4 linked regions of the Caenorhabditis elegans genome follow. The protein of the gene in region 2 interacts with the protein of the main gene of each other region in a pairwise test. Each region holds a gene or a part of one and is shown on either strand. Other genes may lie near its edges.

Region 1 (2,753 bases), on a different chromosome or scaffold from region 2:
ATCGACAAAACTGGTCAGGTGTAATTTGGGCATGAAATGCGCGCCTCTTCAGTCAGGCCTTTCATTCTTCCTTCTTTTCAACCATATTTCATTCTCGCGCTTCAGCCATTTTGCACTTATTCACAGAATTTAGACTTCACATGTGTTTCTTCCACTCTTTCTTCTATTTCTCTTGTATCAAATTTCAATGCCCAAAAGAGACAGCCTTTCTGATTCGAGCAAAAGATTGGTGGAGCATCAAGCTAAACATGGCAGTTCCATTTCCCATGTTATTTTTTATATTGAAAAAGAAGACCTCTGGGTCATTTCCTCTCGTTTCCCATTGTCTGACAGCAAATAAATGGCGCGGTAGTTGAGTTCAGTTTAGTTCATTTCCCGTGATACGTCAAATCCTTTTTTTTTACTCTTCTTTTTGCGGTGGTCTCTGTTTGGGAACGATTGCATGTGAAAATGTTCTTATTGTGCCAGTATTGTTTCCTGAAAATTGTTTCCAAAAATTAATACATAATAAATGAGAAAATACACCGAGCTATTTGACCACCTGCTCTTCTAGTGTGCATGTGCAAAACGTGCTAGTATTGCGAAATATGGAGTGTATCTAAAGCTTATCAAATGAGCATTTGATAGATAAAAATGGATTCATCCAATTTTTTATCCGTTTTTTGAAATATAATATGTGTTCAGGTTCTATTACTTGAAATACTGAAAAAAAAATTATTGCTTTTATAGTGTTGTAGATAATAATTAAAGGTGCTCCTATATTGCTAAAATGCTAATATAGTTTTAAATGCTCCTATAATTCAAAAATGTCCAAATATCGCAGTTAAACTGTTGGGAAAACTTTTGAAATGTTCAGTTTTGTAATTAAACAGTTGGTGAAATTAGTTTTCATTTATCATATGTTTTGGTAGTCGGCCGTCGGCTAAAACAACGCAGAAAATTTGGCAAGTCATCAAAACTTTGACTGGAAATGTTAAAAAATCTAAAACTGTTTCAAGTGTTCTATGATGACTAATTTGAACTATTATACATATTTTAAAATTAAATCTATATTAAAGGTTCTTCACTTATTATACATTCGTCAAAAAAATACACCTGTTCAAAAATTTAAAATTTAAAAAAATCTAAACTTTAACTTTTTGAATAGTGATTGTTTGAAAATAGCTTTCAATTATTTTATCATTGCTGACATTAACGTTTCACATTTGAGCAAGTAATACGCAGAGCTCATACGTATTTGCATGTACGCTGCTGGCTCACACCACCTTTTCTTTCTCTCTCAAATATGTATTCGCCCGTTCTCGTTTCTCTCTCACCGGCTTATGAATCTCAAATGTGGGGTGGCAGAGGGGCCCCCACTCTGTTTTGTGCTCAATTCGAATAAGTGGTGGTGCCCTTTGAGAGATGTCCAATGACATTTTGTGCTTAACATTTCATGAGAATTGTCTTTCTTCGTACATCTTTTCCAAGAACAGAAACTTTAACATGTTTCTTTTGTTTCTTTGAACTAAATCTTTTACGAATTTATTATTCCAAATTTTTTATGTACACAATTTCGTTCAGAATGTCCGAAACACTGATAATTCGCTTCAATGTTGGAGGAACTCCAATGGCAACCTTGAAGACGACTTTCCCAGTTGACTCAATTTTCCACAAATGGTTTGTGTCAAGAACAAAGGCGTCCCCATTCACAAGCGACCGAGATGGCGCGTACTTTGTCGATAGAGACCCATTTTCGTAAGTGAATCACAAAGGTATTTATTAAAATTATTCTCATGATTGTAATTTGGTAATTTGGAAATTTGGACGATGGAAATTATAATATATTGTAGTTGAAAAAAAAAAATAAATCTTTAAATACTTTCTTTCAGATTCGGCGTCGTGCTCAACTATTTTCGTCTCCGGAAAGCTGGACAGCTTTGGGAAGCCTGTCTACCAAAAGACCCAGACAGGTTGGCAATGCTGACACAGGAAGCAGATTTCTTCCTTCTGCCTCAACTACGTGATCAAGCAATCTGCATGCTTCAGCTATGTAGTAATAAAAATGATTCCAACTATATAAACGAGGTATTTATATACTTAAAAACTATGATAATTATCTGTTGAATTTCAGATGCTTGCCAAAAGCACAAGTTGCCCGCAAGGATTTGACAAAAAAGAGGAAGAGGATGAAGAAGATTTTTAAATTCTGTAATAAATCTATATTTTGTGATAAAAGCTACAGAATAAACGAATTCTTCTTTGCGGTTTTGTGGAAAATTAACTACTTACTTTCACTAATTGACGTATTCAATTCTCTACAAAACTATTATTTATCTGGTAACAAATTCCGTTTTTTTCAACAACCAATGTATGTTTGCTAACGTGGCCCCCTGCCAAAAAATTAGCAAGTCATCCAAAACAAAAAATCCCCTTAGAAACGCACGTGTCTACCACTTTTTGAAACTATTCCCGAAGATTTTGAAACTTTTTTTTAATGCTTGCTGGCGATTTTCAACGATATGTTTGGGTACAGGGAGAACGGAAGCGACAAAAAAATCGAGAAAAGTATGACGAGACTAGAAAGCGATACTTGGATCATGGTTAGTTTTTCCACGTATTTTGGATGTTTTATATTGTTACGAAATGCCGTGTTTTCTCTATTAGTATTGCACACCGTGGGCCAACTTTCACAACATACATCTCAATTGCCAGTTTTCCTTTACTAGTAAATTTGTCAACTGACGAAATTTTTGTCAATTCCTTTTTTTAAG
Region 2 (7,515 bases):
CTCCCAACGAGAGAAGTTAATGCCTACGTGATGAAAAATTGTTCACAAGTCTGATTGAAGCACTATAGAAAAAATATAAATTGTTTTGTCAGTTGATAACTTTTTACCAACTCAAAAGACAACTGAAACATAAGCTGTCCAAGTACATAGAGCGATGGGATGCAATACTATACGGAAACATGATTGTGATAAATAATTTACAATCCAATGTAACATTGGAAGATCTATTCATTTTACTTCCCCCCCCCCCCCCCCCCACCATTTCGCTAAGTTTTCCAAAAGTTCACACCTGTATGACCCTCGTCTGTCTATCTCTCTTCAACGACCTTTTCCTGCATCGTTCTCGATATTGCGTAAAATCCCAACACATTGTCTTACTCTTGGGTAAAATCGAGAAAAAAAAGTATTTTTGATTGCGTAAGCATCAAAATGAAATGCAGGTGTTCACCACTAAAATGAAATGGAGGTCATGTTCGTACCCTGTGGTACAAGCCACAGAGAGTTCAATTTATATGATGAGCATTTGAAGAATTTTATTAGGTTCTAAAATACCATGAGCCTGGCAGCTGGAAAAATATTTTACTGTTTTTTTTTTTGCTTAGAAACCTAATACTATAGACTACACTGAATTGGTTGTGACAACCTACTGAAGAACAAGAGGGGTAGAACATTAAATAACGAATCTAAGAATTTACAATCGGTGTTACAATGTTAAAGTTTTCAGCAACTAACTTCAAAGAAAATTAAAATTTTAATGAATCAAGGGATATTGGTTTTTTGGTTCGATTTTGTTCTGGCTCTCCGAGAGAGAACTATATGCCTGATACTGATATATAAAAAATAAAGTTGAAAATGAAGTTTGTAAAAAATACAGCTTGAAATTCGTCAGTTTTACGTTTGTGGTTCAAGCAAGTCTGGAACCTAGAGTTTCCCTAAAATAATATTTATATTTAATTTTTCACACGACCTGAAGTTTTCTCTCAAAACAGTCTACTACATATTTCACATAGAACCCCAGACTCCATCTAACTTTTTGCGGCAAAACTACCATTCCTCTGCTCAAAACTTTTGCTCCAATTCTTTTCATCATAAAGTCTTTACTGATGACAATGAATGGTCAAGTATTCTCAGGGATGTCGTCGGGTCTTTTGAGCTCTTTTGAGTCTTCCAAAACTCCTTCAACTTGTGCCTCCAAAAAGATTTGAGGAGGCATTCTGAAGAATGGGAGCAACAACGGCAAGAAGTGTGTGGTGATTGTGCGCGGGATGAAAAGAGAACAAAGTTTTTGGGATGAGGTGGATGCTCCGTGAGCAATAAAAGGATCCGACAGGAAGGGAGTTTTCAAGAGTAATATTGACTATATAGGGCAAATATAATAACATGACCAAGGATACAGAACTGTTTTCCGAAAAAACCAGAATCCCAGAAAAGAACCACTTCTTAATTGAGAAAGTTTCAAAATTTGTTCAAGTCAAACTGCAGATAAAATGTATTGAAATTAAATAAAAATTGAAAACTCCGAGTTAAAGTTAAATTAAAAGATGAGTAGAGTGTGGTCAATCATAGTGGTTGCTTGAAAACTTCACACACTAGTAAAGTTTACAGTGGTCTAGGTTTTCAGATTTATAGTTTTCCAAAATAAGTTAAACATTTCAACTACAAGAGCACCTCAGTTAGATTTTCTGTACTCTGAACAATGTTACTTGAGCTATTAACATAAAACTACCACTCAATTGAATAATTTGGCATTCACCTGGATACTATGAAAACAAAAAATTGAATATTTGAAAAACAGTACACTAGAAAAACTCTCAAAATCAATCAGGGCGTGGCTTATTGCATCGTCTACAGTATCCCTCAGAGTCGTTTCTCTTCGCTTTCTCTCCGTCGGCTGTCAGTGGTGGTCGCTAGCTCCGCCCATGATTTGACGACGTGACTCGCCTTCGCCTTTCCGACTGCCTCTCACTCTCGCCTTAAGAAGAGAGAATTTGTCTTTTGGGAATCTGTGTGCTCAATATTCCGGAATTCTTGAATTAATGAATCTGGCGCCAAGAATGATGACTGCGGTTTCACAGATGTCGGTTCCAAGCAGTAAGTCAATTTTAAAAAGTTAATCGTCAACATCTAGAATCAGAAGATGAAAACTTCTACTTCGAACTTTCTTGGAAAAATGAGCTTTCTTAAACTTCCAGGCTTTAGCTGTAGAAAGCTTTTTTCCAATTCCCAACTTCAAAAGAAACTCAGATTTTAAAATTGGGATCTTGAGCAATTAATAAACGTAGGATGAGTTGCCCGGTGGGCATACTTCACATTCTTAGCCACATAAAATTGTTATTTTCTCATTTTAATTTCAATTTCAGAGTAGATTATTATTAATTTGAAATATTTAGGGAAGAATTTCCTAAAAATGGGTTTGGAAGTGCATAATATCGAAAAAAAAAGTGGGAGCTTTTTTGGCAAGATACATACGTATAGGATTTTGATACCTTCACAAAATTTTGAAAACCCTATGAAATACTCCTGTTTTTTTTTAAATATTTTTTTACTACCCATTGTCTTCAAATTTAACAAAATCTGAACCTTGACTTCTTCCATGGGATAAATCCATTAATATACAAACTACAGTAAATCCATGTATCTTTATATATGAGTTCTAGAAGCCTTAGTGCAGATGGGTTACTGTAGTTGTACCTAAACTAGTTTGTGTGAATGAAGAAAGAAAATGAAGAAATGTCTAATGTGAATATCATAATTTGAATGCATATCAATTTCAGTGTGAGAAAAAATTTCTAACTGAAAAATTAAGACATTATTTCAGAACCCTGATTTCAGAACTAAAAAGTCACATAAAACTTTCATAAAAATTCCTTTTTTTTTCCTAATCTCCCCGGCACGAGAACTCCAATAAGTAAAATAGGAAGTCATTAAACATAGTGACTCAATATTATGGTAGAAATGATTAGGTGTGAATTATGAGTTAGGTGATGGAATTAGTACAAGAATGGAAGAGTTTCTGTGGGAGATGCAGGTGTTTCGGGTCAATTGTGACACGTGGCACCTGTGGATTTAGCACCATTTAGCTAGAACTAGAATTGATTTGAAAGGTCATGATGTTAAATAAAATTAATTTTTTAAAGTCATACGAACAACATCAAAACTAATACTCAATATCCAAGAAGTAGAAACTCAATTTGAAATATTGTTCACTTCTTGCCTTTTTCTTTCAACAAATCCATTTCCATTCTGCCTTCATTCTCTTTTCATATTCTATTAATTAGGCAGGCAAGAGACACAGGAAGTGCTGAATAATTGGAGTCTCTCCTTCTTGGCTTTCTTGATTTCCTCATTCTATTTCACACCTAAAAATGATTATTTCTTCAGGTCGAATTCTATTGGATGTTGATTGTAGAGTCTGTGAAGATCATTCGTCGGGGAAGCATTACAGTATTTTTTCCTGCGACGGGTGTGCTGGATTCTTTAAAGTAAGTTTTAATGTTTATTGAGCTCTCATTTTTTAGATAGCTTAAAATATTCGAATTTGAGAGTAAATTTTAGTGGAAAATTTTTAAAAAAGTATTATCTAGACGCGAAAGTTTCCCATTTTTGCTCTAAAAATACGGTAACCGGTCTCGATGTGAATTTTTTTTATTAAACGGGAAAAGGTATGTGCCTTTAAACTGTACTGTAATTATGTACTCTCGTTTCTGCCGAATTTTTCTCCTGATTTATTAAAAATGTATGTGTTACATCTGAATTTTATTAAAAAACATATATTTTTATCGAAAAACCATCCAAAATTCGACAGAAACAAATTTATTGAACTACAGTACGTTTTAAAAGCGCACACCTTGGTTAGACAAGGTACTAATTTTTGCTGAAACTAATTGTTATATTATTGAATTTCCGGATAGATAAAAATGTGTTAATCTTCAACAAAAAATGTCTACAATCATTTTGCAACATTAACTTTGTTCTGCTCCGATTATAATGTATGTCTAGGATTTGAGACCTCATGAAATATTTTTTCAATGTGAATTGACTTTCAAATTTCCTTAGCATAATTATCATTGAAATTGAACAACAATTCCAAATTTCAGCGTTCAATCCGTCGTCATCGTCAATACGTGTGCAAAAACAAAGGCAGTCCATCCGAAGGACAATGCAAAGTGGACAAAACACACCGCAACCAGTGCAGGTGAGTTCTTAACGGTCACAGATTAGTGTTACGATCCCCTTTTATGCTCTTTACGTTCGAGTCCATACATTGATTGATGACACTTGGAGAATTTCAGAGCTTGCCGACTAAGAAAGTGTCTGGAAATTGGGATGAACAAAGATGCTGTCCAACATGAGAGAGGGCCTCGTAACTCAAGTTTAAGACGACAACAGATGATGTTCGATCATGGATCCTCTCCTAATTCGGTATGTGTTTGTGGGAATCTTAAATTCGGATATGTTACAAGGACAAAATATTTAATAATTTTAATTAAATTTATCGATTCTAATTTAGTTTTGAATTCATAATGACTTTCAAAATAGTTCCATTTAAATCTCATGATTACCGATCTTTCTCTTTCTCACTCACAAAAATCAGTGACTAAAGTGAAGTGAAAAAAGGATTTTGAGTAGAATTAGTACAGTAATCCGCAGGTGGATTTTGGTCGAGTTGACACCGACGCGGCGGCGACGAAAAGTAAAAAAGGTGAAAAGTTGTCGGTTGCTGTACAAATCTACAGTACCACCTGACAGGTGATTTGTCACTCTTGAACATAGTCAAACATTTTACTGGCGAAGGGAACACCTAGGATATAGAGCATGGTCAGAAATATGATTGCAATGAATTGCAATTTTCTACAACACGGTAACTTGGTTGTTGCCGGAAGTGCTGAGTATTCGTTAAGTTGGCAATTTTTTGAATTGGCAATTATCGAAGAATTAAACAAAACATTTTAATTTTTTTGTGGTACGTTTTTCTCAAAACGTCAAATTTCAAAAAAATATCCTCTAATTATCAGTTAAACACCAAATACGTGCCAAAACCGTGACAGATTCTTTAAAAAAGAGCACCTTGAAAAATCAGCCAGTTTCAAAAACTTGTGAATATATGTGTATTCTGGGGCAGATGTTTTAATGTTTCTATTTGTATTCGGATACAAATTACTCAATAATATTGTGCTCTTATGGATCTTAAGTGGGGACAACATAGTGTCAAATGATTATGTTGCATAAGTACTTGTTAGGGACAGCTGATTGGAAGAATTAGCAAATATCGTATACAAGAGGAAATTATGTCTAAAATTTCTATAATTAACTTTCAGTGAAAAAGTTAATATTATTAAGTAGATGATTTTAATTTTCCTTCATTTCAGCCGGAAATGGGATCAGAAAGTGATGCAATAATTCTTCCGACATCATCAATGAATCGTGACACAGTGGCCGGTACTGCTGCTCGAATCTTTTTTGCACTTGTTGGATTTTGTCAGAATCCTTTGAATGGAGTACCTAAAGAACGGCAAATGACAATGTTTCAACAAAATTGGGCAGCACTTCTTGTTCTCCATGCAACTGAAACACGTGCCATAACTTCTAAGCAAATAAGGACTGAGACGATATCCGGTAGCTCAGAGCAAAGAAATGCGGTATGCAGTAATATGAATCTGAATATTTTGAAAAATTAATGAATGTTCAGGTTGCTAACGCGTTTGAAATAATTGAACGTTTACAATTGGATAATAGAGAATACATGATGTTGAAACATTTCACAATGTGGAGAGATACACCAAGTGCAATTCAAATTGTCTTTCAGTTAGCATCTATTCAGAATTTCACACATAGAACCGAACCGACGAGATATATCCAGTAAGTTCCTTTTTTTATTTTTTTTTTCAATTTTCTTATTTTTGGAATAATGTGAGACTTCACTATAAAGGTAAACGCTGTTTTTCTGAGTGGGTTGCAACGATCAAAGTTAATTAAATATTGTATTTGCTAGTTTGAAGGTTGCTAATTCTTTTTTAAAATTAATTAATTAACCAATTGAAAAAGTTCATTTATAGTTTTTGTACGATTATCCTATTCAAAAGTTCATTTTTCGGCTCAAAATATAAAAAATTCCACAATTAAAAAAGCAGTGTTTTTTGTTCTCACAAAAAATGCAAATTATTTCCTATTTGCTTAAAAAGCGAAATTGATTATTGAAAACTAATGAAAACTAAACGCTCTAGTACCATCTTTCCTTCTGAAAACTTCACAGTCTGAAACCTATTTCAGATGTATAAATGCAATTGCCGCTATTCCAACAACTTCAATAATTGATGTTCTATTCCGCCCTTCAATTGGATCAGCTTCAATGCCAAGACTTATTCAAGACATGTTCAAGCCACCACAACAACCCACTCCTACGTCACTGTTTCCAATGGCAAACTTCAATTTGAACTTTCTATTAAAACAAGAAAAAACCGAAACTGAAGAGGGTGAAGATATTGAAGAAGAGGATGATGCGACGAGTAGCAATCAATTTGATGAAAATTCTTCTACTGATGATAGGTATGATGAGCATTTATTAGTACAGTGGATTAACTGAGTCTGTTGCAGATCTGTCGGAGAACTGGATCCCGTTCAACTTTTCTTGGCTCTTAATTCCTCAACTCAGCCTTCATCGGCATCATCCCCTTCCTCTTCAAGACCACGTCATTCGATTCGATCAATAACTGAATTATTATCAATTCAAGAAGAAGAGAGTGTTAATGTTGAAGAGGTTTAGATAGTAAATTCATGTTTCATATACAGTAACTCAATTATTCTAAGTATCTCTTTTCATTGTCTTTTTCACTCCGTTTCTTGCCTCGCCCGGATTTTCATTGGATTTTGATTTATACTTTCAAAATTTCATTTTTCAATTGTAAATTTTTAATTTAAATTTAGAGAAAAAAAATGGTAAGCTTTAAAACTAATTTATTATTTTCTGATTTATATTGTGAACAGATGAATAAAACGTTTACAACAATGGCAATTGGCATACAAACATCATTAAAAAAAGGTGAATCATACAGTTTTGAGAAGACTACATATGATTCGAAACATAAAAAACAATAGAAATCAATAAATGATGGGAGAGAAACCGAGAGATTTATTGGAAAATGGAACGGTTGAATGTCATATTGTGTCATCGTCGTTTTCCTTGTTAATGGCCTCGTTTCTTATCATATCCATATCATTCTGATATTCCCATTCAACTAGATGACCAAATCATTAGCTGACTGATTTCCCCCTTTTTAATGATTTGTTTATGGTTTTGTCAATAGTTTGAACGCGTTACGTTTTTGTAGATAAACCTGATTATGCTAGAATATTTTTTATTGAGATTTATTGACTAATTTAAAGTTTTAAACTAACAGAACAACAACCAATATTATAAAGAAAATGCTTTAAACTCATTTTTGAACATCCAGAACATCCGAAAAATAACCAACATGGTTAAGATTTTTCAAAGTTTTTAGTCAAAGTTTCGGTATC
Region 3 (7,602 bases), on a different chromosome or scaffold from region 2:
TGTATTTTTAAACTGCATCTACAAAGGTCGAATCAGGATTTGAAATTCGATGCACTTTACATTGCGTCAGAATTGACCCTTCCGATGACCCAATTCGGAAGAATTCGCAAAAAGTTTGTACCGTCAATTTGAATGGCAGCGACGCAATAGATTTGGGAAAATTGGCGCATCTAGGTTAACGAGTCGGGTGGTATGGCCCAGCCTGTCCCCGCGCGCGCTGCCGCGTGCCTGCCATCCATGGCTTGACCTTGGCAATGCGCGGATCTGTTTGCGAATTATTCGCGGTTCATCAACATGGGAGGGAGGAGGGGGGCAAAATTGCGGCACGCGCATGAGTGGCCGATGTTTCGAACCGTGCCACGCTCAGATTGTTTTATTTGACCTGACCAACATCGCAACTGACCTAGGCACTCGGCGGCGCCACCCAGCGCCGAAAGTAGCGCATCTCGTTGCACTTTTAACTTGTATACACAAACTATTTTTGACACACTCGAAAAGGGCCGACGATCTTTTTTTTCCATCTACTGGTGCCATGAAGTGAATTTTTAAGGGTTACGAAATAAAAAAAAGTTATCTTTTTTGCACGTACACACAATTCCCTTAGACACTCTCAAAAGCTAGAGGTTCCACATGACGTTATGAAATTCGAACTTGAAGGCGCCAAGCCTAGGAACCAATTGGAACAAAAAGAGTCAGCTGGCAAATTCAACCTTATGATATCGGTGCTCTGATCTGGCACTGCGCCAATTGCAAAGGGCACTAGCTCTTAACCTAGACAGTTGTGACTGTGTAATCTCGCCACGTACCTTGATAAATTCGATCTCAGCGACATGGTGTCTTGGAGGGTGATTGTGTGATCCTTTCGTGCATGCGTTTTTATTATCCATGGTTGTTTCAGCTCGGCATTTGCACCACTGCCCATCATGCATTTTCTTAGCGCAAACGCATCTCCAAGACTTGAAGTTACGTTCTGGAGCAATCTGAAAAAAAACAACTCGTGATGAAAGTCACCACTTGAATGATGGTCTATGATACCTGATAAATATTATATCGGTAGCCTTGATACATAAGTTTTTGATATCCTTTGAAAGATGTGACAATTTGTGGAATGTCTGGATTGTATCGGACAAATGAGATCTGAAAAAAAACTATTATTATCGGCCCAAAATCGCCAGTTAAGGCGGTGTTTCCCGGTGTCAGGTTGTTTTGAAATTCGTGTGGGAAGGAAGCCCTAAATTTTCCGTCTGAACAAACACCGGTCAACTATGCAAACGTTCTCTTTCAAAACTATGTTTGCCCTTCGGACAGTCCAAACAGTTATCTCAAAGTACTTACCTTTTTCTTTTCCTTGTCCGGTGATAGTGGCATACTGCTCACGCTAATCGGAGAAATGGCGGAAGTATCAGTGGAAGAAGACGAAATGTCTGATGATCCAGGCTTTTCAAGACCCAGCATTGTCTGAAAAGGAAAATTGATGTGTTAAATCAAATGAGCAAAAAAAAATAGCGATGGGAGCAATAGAATAATAATAACCAAATGACCTCTGATGAATTAGAAATTGAACTCAAACTAGACAGATGATGAAAAAGAGATATGACCAACGAAGAGAGATGTGACAAAAAAAACGAGCGGACCTGCTGTTGGATAGCGAGCGAGGTTCAGACACCTAGAATCAGACGATTTTTTCTCATCTATCTCTCCGCCCCAGGCACTATCAGTTGCTTGGGGCGGACAAATCAGCTGATGGGGCAGTCGAGAGAGGCGCGTGCCATTTGAACTGATAACCTATCGTGGCAGGCACCAACCGGCTGCCAACTAAGACACCGAATACTGTTATTTGGATGAGGTGCGCGAGAACGAGAGTGGCGAAGAGATAGAGGATGAGTGACCGGCAGGAGGCACAACTGACTGTACGGAAATTGGCGAGAAACATGCGTTGAAACGAGATTGACACATTCACTTTTTTTTTTGATTTTGGTAAATTTTGTTGAGGTGGTTGGTCGAAATTTCAAAAACAGACTAAAGAAGGGTTAAAAAGAATACAGAAGTATATGATTATCATTATTTAATTCGGAATTTCTAAAGAAGATAGAACAAAAAGTTGATAGCGGGGCAAAGCAAAATTCTCGGAAAAGAAATACAGTAACCAGTTTCGATGGCACACATTCCGCAACATGCGGCGACTTTTATCGAGTAATGGTGTTTTGACTTCGTTGACCCACAATTCCTTCCATCTATCTTCCGCCAGCCTGATCATAATACTTTTTTGACCGCTTTTCCATCCATGGAATACTGCGAGGAAGTGGCGCGAGAAAGTAAAGGCATGAGGTATAACGAGTACCGTTCCAAGTTTCACTTTTTGTTTTTGTGGCGGGCGAGGGGGTCATCGTCGAAGAGAAAGTTCGAGTAAAAGTGACCAAAAATGAAGCAAGTTTTGCAAATAGGCACCAGAAAGGGGGTCTCCAAAAAGTTATTATATCCGGGCCAATGGAAAGTGTGGGATGCCAGGACGATTACCGAAAAAAGGGCCGCGCCGTCGCCGCCCGCATGACCTAGCGCGGAAGACACGGATTGACACCGGATTGATGGATTCGGGAGAGAAAAAAAAAACCACAAAATTAGGTAATTGAGGGCGAAGATTTTGATAAGAAAGGCGGAAGCCAACGGCTTGACCCAATCGCGTGGCACTAGTCCGCATAACCTTGATGGAAACTATTACTGTTGCAACATCGGCAAAGTGCAAGGTCCTATTGGACATCGGCGCAAGACGGCGTCAGCACTTCTCGCGTACGATTCGCCATTTATGGCGGTCAGAATTCAAGTGTCTAGTAATCAGTGGCCGACAGAACAAACATTTTTCTTATCAGTATGTATATGCTTGGTTCAGCGAAAAATTGCATAATACCGATCCTGGAACGGTCGAGCACCACTGGACAACAAAAATATTTGTTTGGCATGCTTACATGCTGATAATACCTATTTCAAGATGATGGGAATTGTATAGAAGCCGAAGGTGAAAACATATCAAACGTTAAAATTAGGAAGGTAATCGTAACAAGACTAGTAGTAAGGTAGAAATACAGTAAGCGTGAATCTAGAGAATCGCAGTCTGAAGTTTCACACCTTCCGCTATCCATATTCTACTGGTAGTCTAAAATTCCGATGGCGGCGTCGGGTGGAAGTGAGAGGGGGGGGGGGGGGGCGGTTCAGTAAGGAACGGGGTCAGGCTGCCTGCCACGAAGAACCGCGAGGGAGAAGGCCTTTGCCTCCTCCATCTCCTCCTACTTCTACATCCACAACATCTTCTTCATTTCAATCGGCCGCCTCCCCCCTAAATGAACAGCCAACCCCGCCAAAACATCCGCGATCCGATGGTGTGAGGCACGCGCGCGCATACGCCGTGCCCTGAACCATTAGTAGTGGATGATGATGGTGATGAGGAACGAAAATGAAAGAAGCGTCTAACGAATGCAAAAAAGATCACAAGGGGCAAAGAGGTGAAAGGCGTGTGTACATAAAAACAACTCTCGAAATCCGCCTTGTCCGACATCCAAGTATGGTAACTGCGTCGGCAGCAGCAATTTGGCGCCAGTCGCCGATCCACTCTCACTTGGACGTTTTGCCCCCAATATGGAAGGTTTTTTCATCTAATTATTTGACCGGATGTCAATTTCTATGTCTATCACGAAACGTTTAAAGGCAGATTCGTCAATTTGAAAAGATCTGGAAAAAAAACATTGCTGGAGCAAAATTACAAGTCTGGAGTCGGCTTTTCGTTTCCAATTAGTCAAAAAACACACACATACACATACGCCACCATCTGGGGTTGTCAGGAAAGGTGATGGATGGACATCTCTATGGCAATCGGGAGAGGGCCTAGAACAAAGGGGTGCCAGTCTCGGATCGGTCAGATGAAATCGTTTCTCTCCTACAAATTTTTCGAAATTTTGCAATCGTCAATGATTAGTTCGATATCCAGAAAATTGGTATAGATGATATCACATATTTACTACGGGATCCATGAATGCCCTTCATTTTCACGTCGCGCCCCCCCCCCCCCCCCCCCCATTCTCGAAGAAGTCTTAGAAGCTGCAAAAGCTCGTAGTCAATCTTGTCCAGGATGAGTGAAAGGCGATTTTACTTTCTATAGCTGAACCTTGATTTGGAGAAAGTGAAGAAGGGGCAGCTAGGAGAAAAGAAGAAGAGTGGGCATTTACGCCAAGAAAAAAACTGAACACGCAAGACTGGTCACTTCATGAAACAACATCTAGCGCTTCTAAAAACTGAAGTGGTCTAGAAAATTAGGAGAAAAATTGTGAAATGGAACAATGAACGCGCCAAGGCAAAACGAGTAAAGTGCGTTACTGGTGCTCCACCCTTCCTGCCTCAGAGATTGACCCCCTGTTCGAAAATTCAAACATGAAATAGTGTAAAAGAGAAATGATACACAATTGATAGCTCTAGTACAGGGAACAAGGTTAGAAAGGTCATTAGTCAACTATGGAGTGCTTCCAGTTGCCACCACTGACAGTAGAAGTGTGGAAAGTATGTGTGCGAGAGCCCGGCGTGAGCCAAAATGGAAATGGGCGGTCCGAACGGTTTCGACAGTGGAGGAAGTGGGAGCCATCCGAGTTGTGACAACCACGGTGGCGGGTGCCCGGCCGGAAGGAAGCACACATCAAGAGTACAGTACGAAAGGCCTTTCCGCAAAGGGGGGGGGGGGCAAACGGCAAACAATGACCCTTCGGGGCGTGTATATATTGTGCTTCGCATCAGTTTGGCCACGTCTCGCGCAGTACAGAGAGTGGCACGTAACGCCACTGACCAGCCAAGTGCAAACTTGTAGACAGGCATCGCAGCGCCGAGGCACTCCTCCAACCTAGTACTATATTTGCAAATGTTGGTTCTCTCTGCCTTCATCTACTTAATCTTTCTCTCGAAACTGTTCCCTCGAAACCGCGCACTTTATATTACTGGGTGGTTTTAGATGTTGCCCTTTTCTTCCGCGTAAAGTCATAAAGAGGAAGACGTCAGAAACTATGAGCCACAGAACGAAAAATACTGCTAGTTTTATATCAAAACTTTTCGGAGAAGGCAAGCAAGCGTCGACGGTCAGAAAAAAAATATAACGACGAGGGCGAGCTGCAAGTATCACTAAAAGTGAAAACGATTGGCAAGCGGACAATAAACATGCGGTTACGCAACAAAACTTTCGCGCATTGGTCATGCCCCGGCGCCTAGCACTGTCCGGGCTCGTGTGCAAAGGTCGCTGACTCATCTGGCGCGGCCCATTGAAGTCGAGCAGGGGCAAAATGGTACTGTCAACTGATATGTTGGTTTTTTAATCAAAGAGCTGATTGGCAATGGTACAAGCCAGCACTACTTTCCGCCCGTAAAGGAGAAACATAGAGAGCTTTTTGGTTGCAAAATGTAGAATGTTAAAATTATACAAAAGATAAAAACGCATATGAATACTGATAATTAACTGAAACTGTGAACCATTGATAAGTAAATGTGTACCTATCAATTACAATTTACTCCAACATTTCCCCGATTAGAAAACTAAAATGTGAGAACACAACAAAAAAAACTACATTAATTTTAAAAACCGCTCGTCTCCAAAATTTCTTGACATCTCCCAGAAAATAAAAATGGAATGATAGATACCAAGTCAATTTAATTCATATTCCCCCCCGTAGCCATATTTGGCAGGCAGAAACAAACGACGACACGTCACTGAAACGAACGGGGTGAATAGGAGAACAAACCGAGAAACAGAGAAGCACACGAGAGGGGGGGGGGGGGGGGTTTATGGATCTCAAGAAAATGCATGATGTTAAAGTTTTGATCATCACATCGTATTCTGACAAATAGATAGAGGGTAACTCAGCACAAACCCCTTGGCTCACGCAAAGGACAAGAAAACAGTTGTGCAAACTCAAACCACCGACTGAAAACGCCTGTCGCTGAACAAATCTAACTGGTCACTCACCTGGTCAAGCCGCCAGCAATTTTTTTGAACTGTTGTTGTCATCATCAGCCCCAGTTTGGAATATCCAGAATGCTTCCTTTTCTCGGTGTTTACTCGTTTCGTTGCCCTGGAATAAAGTACACATTTATATTGATCATAACAGGGCACAAACTGAGCAGGGTGCCTTTCACGAAGAGCTTGAAATGACCTTTTAACACACACACATACACACATCATGGTACGAAATACATCTGGGAAAAGGGTGATGGTTGTAAGAATAAACTAATAAAATAATGAGCAATTGGAGTTGCACTATGTGTGTCAAACTGGAATTGGAAATTGGAAAAATCTCAGTTTTTGTTCGAGGCATAAACTCTAAAAATTTCCACTTTTTGACTGTCAGTAAAAAAAACATTTCAAACGATTTTTTTTGACTTTTTAAAAGTTTTAATACAAAATTTGATTATTTTGGTATCATATATGTAGCACTGCTCCACTTTTGAAAAATCGTTTTCTAATTGGTTACAGTGCTTTTCAGAAAATTATACAATGGTTTGCAACCTGTGGTGTGGTGTGTGTGTGTGTGGGTGTGTGAAAAAGGAATTAAATACAAGAAAGAGATGAGTTGGATGCAATAGATGGGTATATGGTGACGACGTCTTCGCCGGACGCAGATTGTTGTTGTTTGTGGCAGTTCCGCGCGGATCAAACAAATAGTATGTCAGCGTGTAGATGCGCAGGCAGATACAAAACGCGGCGTGCGGGCACTAAAGTTCGTGACCTGTGATGGGTCGCGGCAAATTCGGAATAGACCGGGGGGAATGAGGGAGAGGCGGAAAACCAAAAACGGCGAGACACAAACTAAGGCTCAAATAAATGACGAGTCGAGCGAAATACGTGATTAAACTTTTCCAATACAGTCTCAGCGTATTTTTTTTTCGGGCCAGCGCCACCCTCCACGCTCGTGAGACACTTCTATACTACTTTATGAATCCGGCAAACTTTTGGATGCGTGAGTGTGCCGCTCATCATACGCCCACATTTGTGAGATTGGAAAATAAAAGTGCAAAAAACCTGAAGTAATATGCCTTTTTCTTGGTTGCTTACATCAACTGGAAATCACATTTTAAAATTGATGAGTTCAGTGGGGTCCCTTGTGTAAATATCAATTACTAAAATATTGGCACTTTCAGTGATGTCTTCAAAAAGCAATGATTTGATTAACTTCTCGACCTAATGCGATATCTGAAAAAGTTCACAAGCAATTCTTATCTTGATTTAACTGATGGTCTATCCGTCTTTGTTGTCGCTTGTCAGTACCACTTGCCGTGCCGATTCGGTGCCGTCCAGTGTTTCGCATCCAATTGGCCAACGAAAGGTCATTCATCCGACTGAACTAAATTATGGCATGGCAGAATGACAGTGTTCAGGGGTAGAGTTTTTTGAAATTTGCAACTATCTGCATAGATCACATCAATTTATTTTCAAAGTGTGACTGTTCGGCCTGTGCATTATTTAAAAAATTTTCACATGTTCATCCAAAAATCTCCAGTGCAGTCCCAAAACCGATGGAAATCTAGAGAAAAAAACCCGGAGCAAGTGATTTGTATAATCGAGATATAATCTCAGTT
Region 4 (4,328 bases), on a different chromosome or scaffold from region 2:
TAAAAAACTCTGCATAATTAAATAGTAAATTCGTGTTCAATTTCGTTCTTTCCGAAAAACAATGTTGAATTCAATCGTCGACTGAATTTCTGATTTTTTTTTCTGAAAAGATATCACATTTTCTATTAATTCTAAGTAGTCTGAACCAGCTGGGCGACAATTCCAATTTCGCTATTTTGACAGTTAAACAATTGCGGAAAATACTGAGTTATCGAAAGTTCATCAATTCATCAATTTCCAAAAATGCCGATTGCTGGGAAATTGAAAATTCTCTAAAAATGTTCATATCCAAGAAGAAAATCTGAAAATCTGTAAATTTTTATAAGTTAATATACAAAGAAAAATTAGATAAATCTTTTGCCACAAAAACTTCACTGCTGTACGAATTAAATTTTCTTTCATTTGTAGATTTTTTTCAAAATATTTTAAATGTGCACAAGACATTTGGCCAAATTTTTAACTTGATCAATGTCGATCAATATATTTGCCGAAAATGTTCTTTTGCCGCCCATCCTGGTCTGAACTTAAAAATGTTTGCGCAAATTTGCCTCTAAGTTTTTTTTCTAGTAAATTGGAGAATAAAAATTCGCAAAAAGATCTCAATCACCTCATAGGCAACAATTGCAAAAATATCCGTTCAATAATTCTTTATGCAAATACTGAACAGTTAAGATAATTTCATCATTTCAATATCTCGACTTTGCTTCACAAAAGAACAATCAATAATTCGACGGCAAGCTGACAAATCAGCCATCTATCCATCTGTCCGTCTGTCCACACAAAAACATACAAATCGAGTATGCGGAGGAGGAGTCTATGTTCTTTCCCTCAACTCTCTGCTTCTCTCATCTTCTCTTCCCTCTCATCTCGGCCCGTACAGCTGCATCAAAGACTCTCAAACATCGGCGCGGCGCGGGCGCACGCTAAATAAAAGGGGGAAAAGGTAGTGAAACGACACGTGGAGACGCAGAACAAGCAGCGGGTACCGTAGTCGCGCAGACCTGCGAATCACCGATTTGTCCGCTGTATATAAAGGAGGGAAGAACGCGAGGTCTGCGTGTGATCGGCCAGCGCCTTTCTGCTCCTATTCTCCGTTTTTCCCCCTTCTATCTCCTCTTTATACACTATTTCCCTTAGATTCTCTCGTCTCCTCACCGAAGCGCTCAATCACTCGTCTTTACGCGCTCTCCTCCAGTCCTGGCCAGTAGATGTGTAAGTGTGTGTGTGTGCGTTGACATCGAATCGAATCGACACGACGCAGAATGGAATAAATGGCGTTATCATTAAAGAATGAAATAACCAAAATGAAAGCGAGAAATAGAAAAAAGGAAGATACCATCACGCCTCTTTTTTGTTATCAATTGTTGTACTGATGTGATGATCTATATTGTTATAGTGATCGATGAGACCCGAACGGCTGTGTACATACAGAACATATAGAACATAACACACTTGTTGCGAAACGGAGTTGCTCTAACGGGAAATGAAATATAACAAAATCTAATTATCTGAATCCCTTTGTTACTGAGCACAGAATATTTTAATAATTCCAATCAATATCAAATAGTGACCATTAATTTTAGAAAAAAAAGTTTGCGTTGATTATTCATGGGCTCTAAATGTCTTTTCCAAAGTTGTTAAGAGAGCTTCTATGAATGAAACATCATGTCCTTCTTTCATGGTTCAATAATCTCTCATTTCATCGCTTTACCTCAAGAGTATTATACAGTAGCTTCCAACTTTCAGTTAGTCTCAGGCCCATCATCGATGACGTCTTCGGAATAGTTCTATATCTCTCGAAAACCACCCGTTGTTCGTTCTTTCTCTCTCTCATTTTGTGCCTCCAAATCTCCACAACATCGTCTTCTCTCGTCAGCAACGTTTCCGTCGGAGACACTGACACTTTTGGAAGGAAACCAGAGAATACATATTTCGAGAGAGGAGAAAACAAGATGGATCAGAATAGAGGAAGCGATGTTGGCTTTGCGGTGCCGATGTTACCCGTCAATTATGCATCGGCTACTCGTTAGTTTTGACCTTATCTTTTAGGGTGGATGGAACAAAAAAGAAACTCGATTATAGATAATCGGAAAACGTACATTCATAAAATCTTAAAATGAAAGCTTATTTATTTTCAAAAACCCTTAATTTGTTTTGGGTAAAACCGTCAGTATCCGGCATCATTTCTGGATCATGAACTATCTAGAAACTTCAAAAAATATGCGACTTAAAACAATTTGTAGATGTAATATCTAAGAATTAACAGATTAGGATCAAATCGTTATTTAAATTTATTTTTCAGAAAAAATGTCAACGTTGGCATCCACTTCATCAGCCGGTGCTTCATCATCAACAGGTAGCAGCAACCAACAGCAGCAACAGGCAGCTGCTGTGATCCGAAGACGTCGTTTCAGCACTGCAAAAATTCAGCCAACACGCATAAAGAAGGTTATGCAAAGTGATGAGGATATCGGAAGAATGGTTCAGTCAGTTCCTGTCAGCATCGGAAGAGCAATGGAGCATTTTGCGGAGAAGTTTTTACAGGTGAGAAGACTCAGTCATAGTTATTTTGAACCTTGAATATATATTTGAGGCTGCCGCAGAAGCTACTCAATTCACATCTTCAAAGACGCTAAACCCTCAACACATGAAGCAGGCGGTTCTCAACACTCCACACTTTTCATTTCTAGAATCAGTCTTCAAAGATGTTGCACTTCCACAGCAAGCATCTGAATTGAATACTGCACGTACCGGCATGACATTGAGAGGACAGCAAATGCTCCAAGAGCAACAAAATTCAGATTTTGCTAGTGCAATTCTTGCCAATGCGCAGATGCAAATGATGCAAATGGATCAACAAGCATTGAAACAAGAAGATGGAACTATTTCTCCTTATTTAGTTGATCCGCAATCCCCAGCAGCACCACTTCCACTTTATCTTCAAGGGATTCCATCCAATTATCCAGTAGTTCAAGAACTCACAGCCACCGTACCACTTTCTCCTAGCACTCCGACAACTCAACTCGTAAATGGTATGCTAGGAATGCTCAAATACTCGAAAAAAGATTCTGAAGGACAACGTCTCACAGGATTAAAACGAGCATCTACTGATGGTGATGGAGAAGACAGACCAAAGCGAGGACGCCCAAAGAAGTTAAAACCTGAAAAATGTATTGATGATGATCTCTACGAGGAAGCTTCTAGGAATATAGCCAAGGTAATATTTGAAAAGTTTAGACATAGAATCAAAATGTTCTAAAGATGTAATTTGATTTACGGTTCTGTGATCCTTTTGATCTAAAGCAAAATTATCATTTTCAGGAAGACAAGGATCGCGAGTTGATGCCTCCTCCAGCACTGCCTATTGGCCGTCCGTGATCCTCACTTCTCTATGAGAAATTTTATTCTTCTCCTAATCGTGTACTTTTCAATGGTCTCGTTGCCCTCCATTTCTGATCTAAATTTCTCCTTTTCTATTGCTCCAAGTTAAGAAAAAAAAAACAAATCCTCACCGGGTCTACCCTATTCTCTATTTCTCTTGTTTTATTCATTTTTTGTCGTTCACTGGCAAATCAAAATTTAATCACTTCGATGTTCTCCCAATATGAACCATTACCGACCCACACCTTCATAAATCAGGATGCTCGTCGCTTTTCATTAAACCTTCCAAATGTTCTCTGTCATATGTTTAACTTGTTTTGCTCTTTGTCTCTCTAATTCAATTTTTCTCTTCATTTTTATATTTGTCATGCTTTAGAATTCAATTTCCGTTTTTGTAGTATTTAATATAAAAATTATTCAACCAGAAAACGTATATTTCCGACAGAAAAGACCACTAAACTCGCGCAACAACTAGAGCGATCTACATTATATTAGTATTCAGCTAAATTATGGATCTGAGCGAAGATGAAGATTTATTAAACATTGAAGAAGAAGGGGAAAATGAGAGCCAAAAAGAAGAAGTAGATTCTGTAATTGTTGGTTTGTAATATTTTGTCCAATTTAAACAAAAAAGGAAGTTCAGAAGATATTCGACGTCGTCTTTTCGATGTATTCAAGATGTTTGACGAGGATTCTGATGGTTTGATTGAAGTGAGGATTACTGTAGTTACTGTTGAAACTTGGCTTTTCACGTGGTGCTTTTCTCCAACTTTCTACTCATTTATATCATTAAGAACCGGATCAAATAGACATTCCACCTAGTGTAGGCGTCACGGGGAGCCTATTCCCGCCTTCCCACTCGCCTTCCTCGCGCCCTTCAGTAGGGTGAGTGAAGAGGCGAACACGCCTCGAGTGCATGAAGTTATTTTTCATACTTCATAAACTCT

Evidence for each region.
Region 1: the proteins of nhr-67 (region 2) and F49H12.3 interact in a two-hybrid assay, tested with the Caenorhabditis elegans proteins (one large-scale study listed by BioGRID).
Region 3: the proteins of nhr-67 (region 2) and peb-1 interact in a two-hybrid assay, tested with the Caenorhabditis elegans proteins (one large-scale study listed by BioGRID).
Region 4: the proteins of nhr-67 (region 2) and drap-1 interact in a two-hybrid assay, tested with the Caenorhabditis elegans proteins (one large-scale study listed by BioGRID).

Annotation. Positions count from the first base shown.
Region 1 is NC_003284.9:2,082,812-2,085,564, forward strand, and holds F49H12.3 (Potassium channel tetramerization-type BTB domain-containing protein), read left to right. Parts: upstream 1-1,563; 5' UTR 1,564-1,564; coding exon 1,565-1,737; intron 1,738-1,871; coding exon 1,872-2,067; intron 2,068-2,113; coding exon 2,114-2,185; 3' UTR 2,186-2,246; downstream 2,247-2,753. Other genes in the region: F49H12.2 (uncharacterized protein), read left to right, coding at 2,477-2,582.
Region 2 is NC_003282.8:11,167,780-11,175,294, forward strand, and holds nhr-67 (Nuclear hormone receptor family member nhr-67), read left to right. Parts: upstream 1-1,968; 5' UTR 1,969-2,054; coding exon 2,055-2,091; intron 2,092-3,381; coding exon 3,382-3,482; intron 3,483-4,097; coding exon 4,098-4,195; intron 4,196-4,292; coding exon 4,293-4,422; intron 4,423-4,630; exon of another isoform or gene 4,631-4,760; intron 4,761-5,369; coding exon 5,370-5,639; intron 5,640-5,689; coding exon 5,690-5,859; intron 5,860-6,270; coding exon 6,271-6,546; intron 6,547-6,594; coding exon 6,595-6,763; 3' UTR 6,764-7,012; downstream 7,013-7,515. UniProt on the Caenorhabditis elegans protein: Orphan nuclear receptor that binds DNA containing an extended core motif half-site sequence 5'-AAGTCA-3'.
Region 3 is NC_003284.9:2,209,486-2,217,087, reverse strand, and holds the start of peb-1 (FLYWCH-type zinc finger-containing protein peb-1), read right to left. Parts: upstream 6,038-7,602; coding exon 5,993-6,037; intron 4,847-5,992; exon of another isoform or gene 4,556-4,846; intron 3,631-4,555; exon of another isoform or gene 3,508-3,630; intron 3,453-3,507; exon of another isoform or gene 3,071-3,452; intron 2,854-3,070; exon of another isoform or gene 2,506-2,853; intron 2,283-2,505; exon of another isoform or gene 2,097-2,282; intron 1,859-2,096; exon of another isoform or gene 1,642-1,858; intron 1,459-1,641; coding exon 1,336-1,458; intron 1,269-1,335; exon of another isoform or gene 1,147-1,268; intron 1,138-1,146; coding exon 1,036-1,137; intron 981-1,035; coding exon 807-980; intron 450-806; exon of another isoform or gene 187-449; intron 1-186. UniProt on the Caenorhabditis elegans protein: Putative transcription factor. Binds to specific sequence motif 5'-[TC][AGT]TGCC[GA][AT]-3' in regulatory elements of target genes such as myosin myo-2. May modulate gene expression, perhaps acting in opposition to transcription factor pha-4.
Region 4 is NC_003283.11:9,730,213-9,734,540, forward strand, and holds drap-1 (Transcription factor CBF/NF-Y/archaeal histone domain-containing protein), read left to right. Parts: upstream 1-1,746; 5' UTR 1,747-1,952; coding exon 1,953-2,025; intron 2,026-2,302; coding exon 2,303-2,544; intron 2,545-2,593; coding exon 2,594-3,217; intron 3,218-3,321; coding exon 3,322-3,378; 3' UTR 3,379-3,810; downstream 3,811-4,328. Other genes in the region: cal-7 (EF-hand domain-containing protein), read left to right, coding at 3,891-3,981, 4,025-4,092.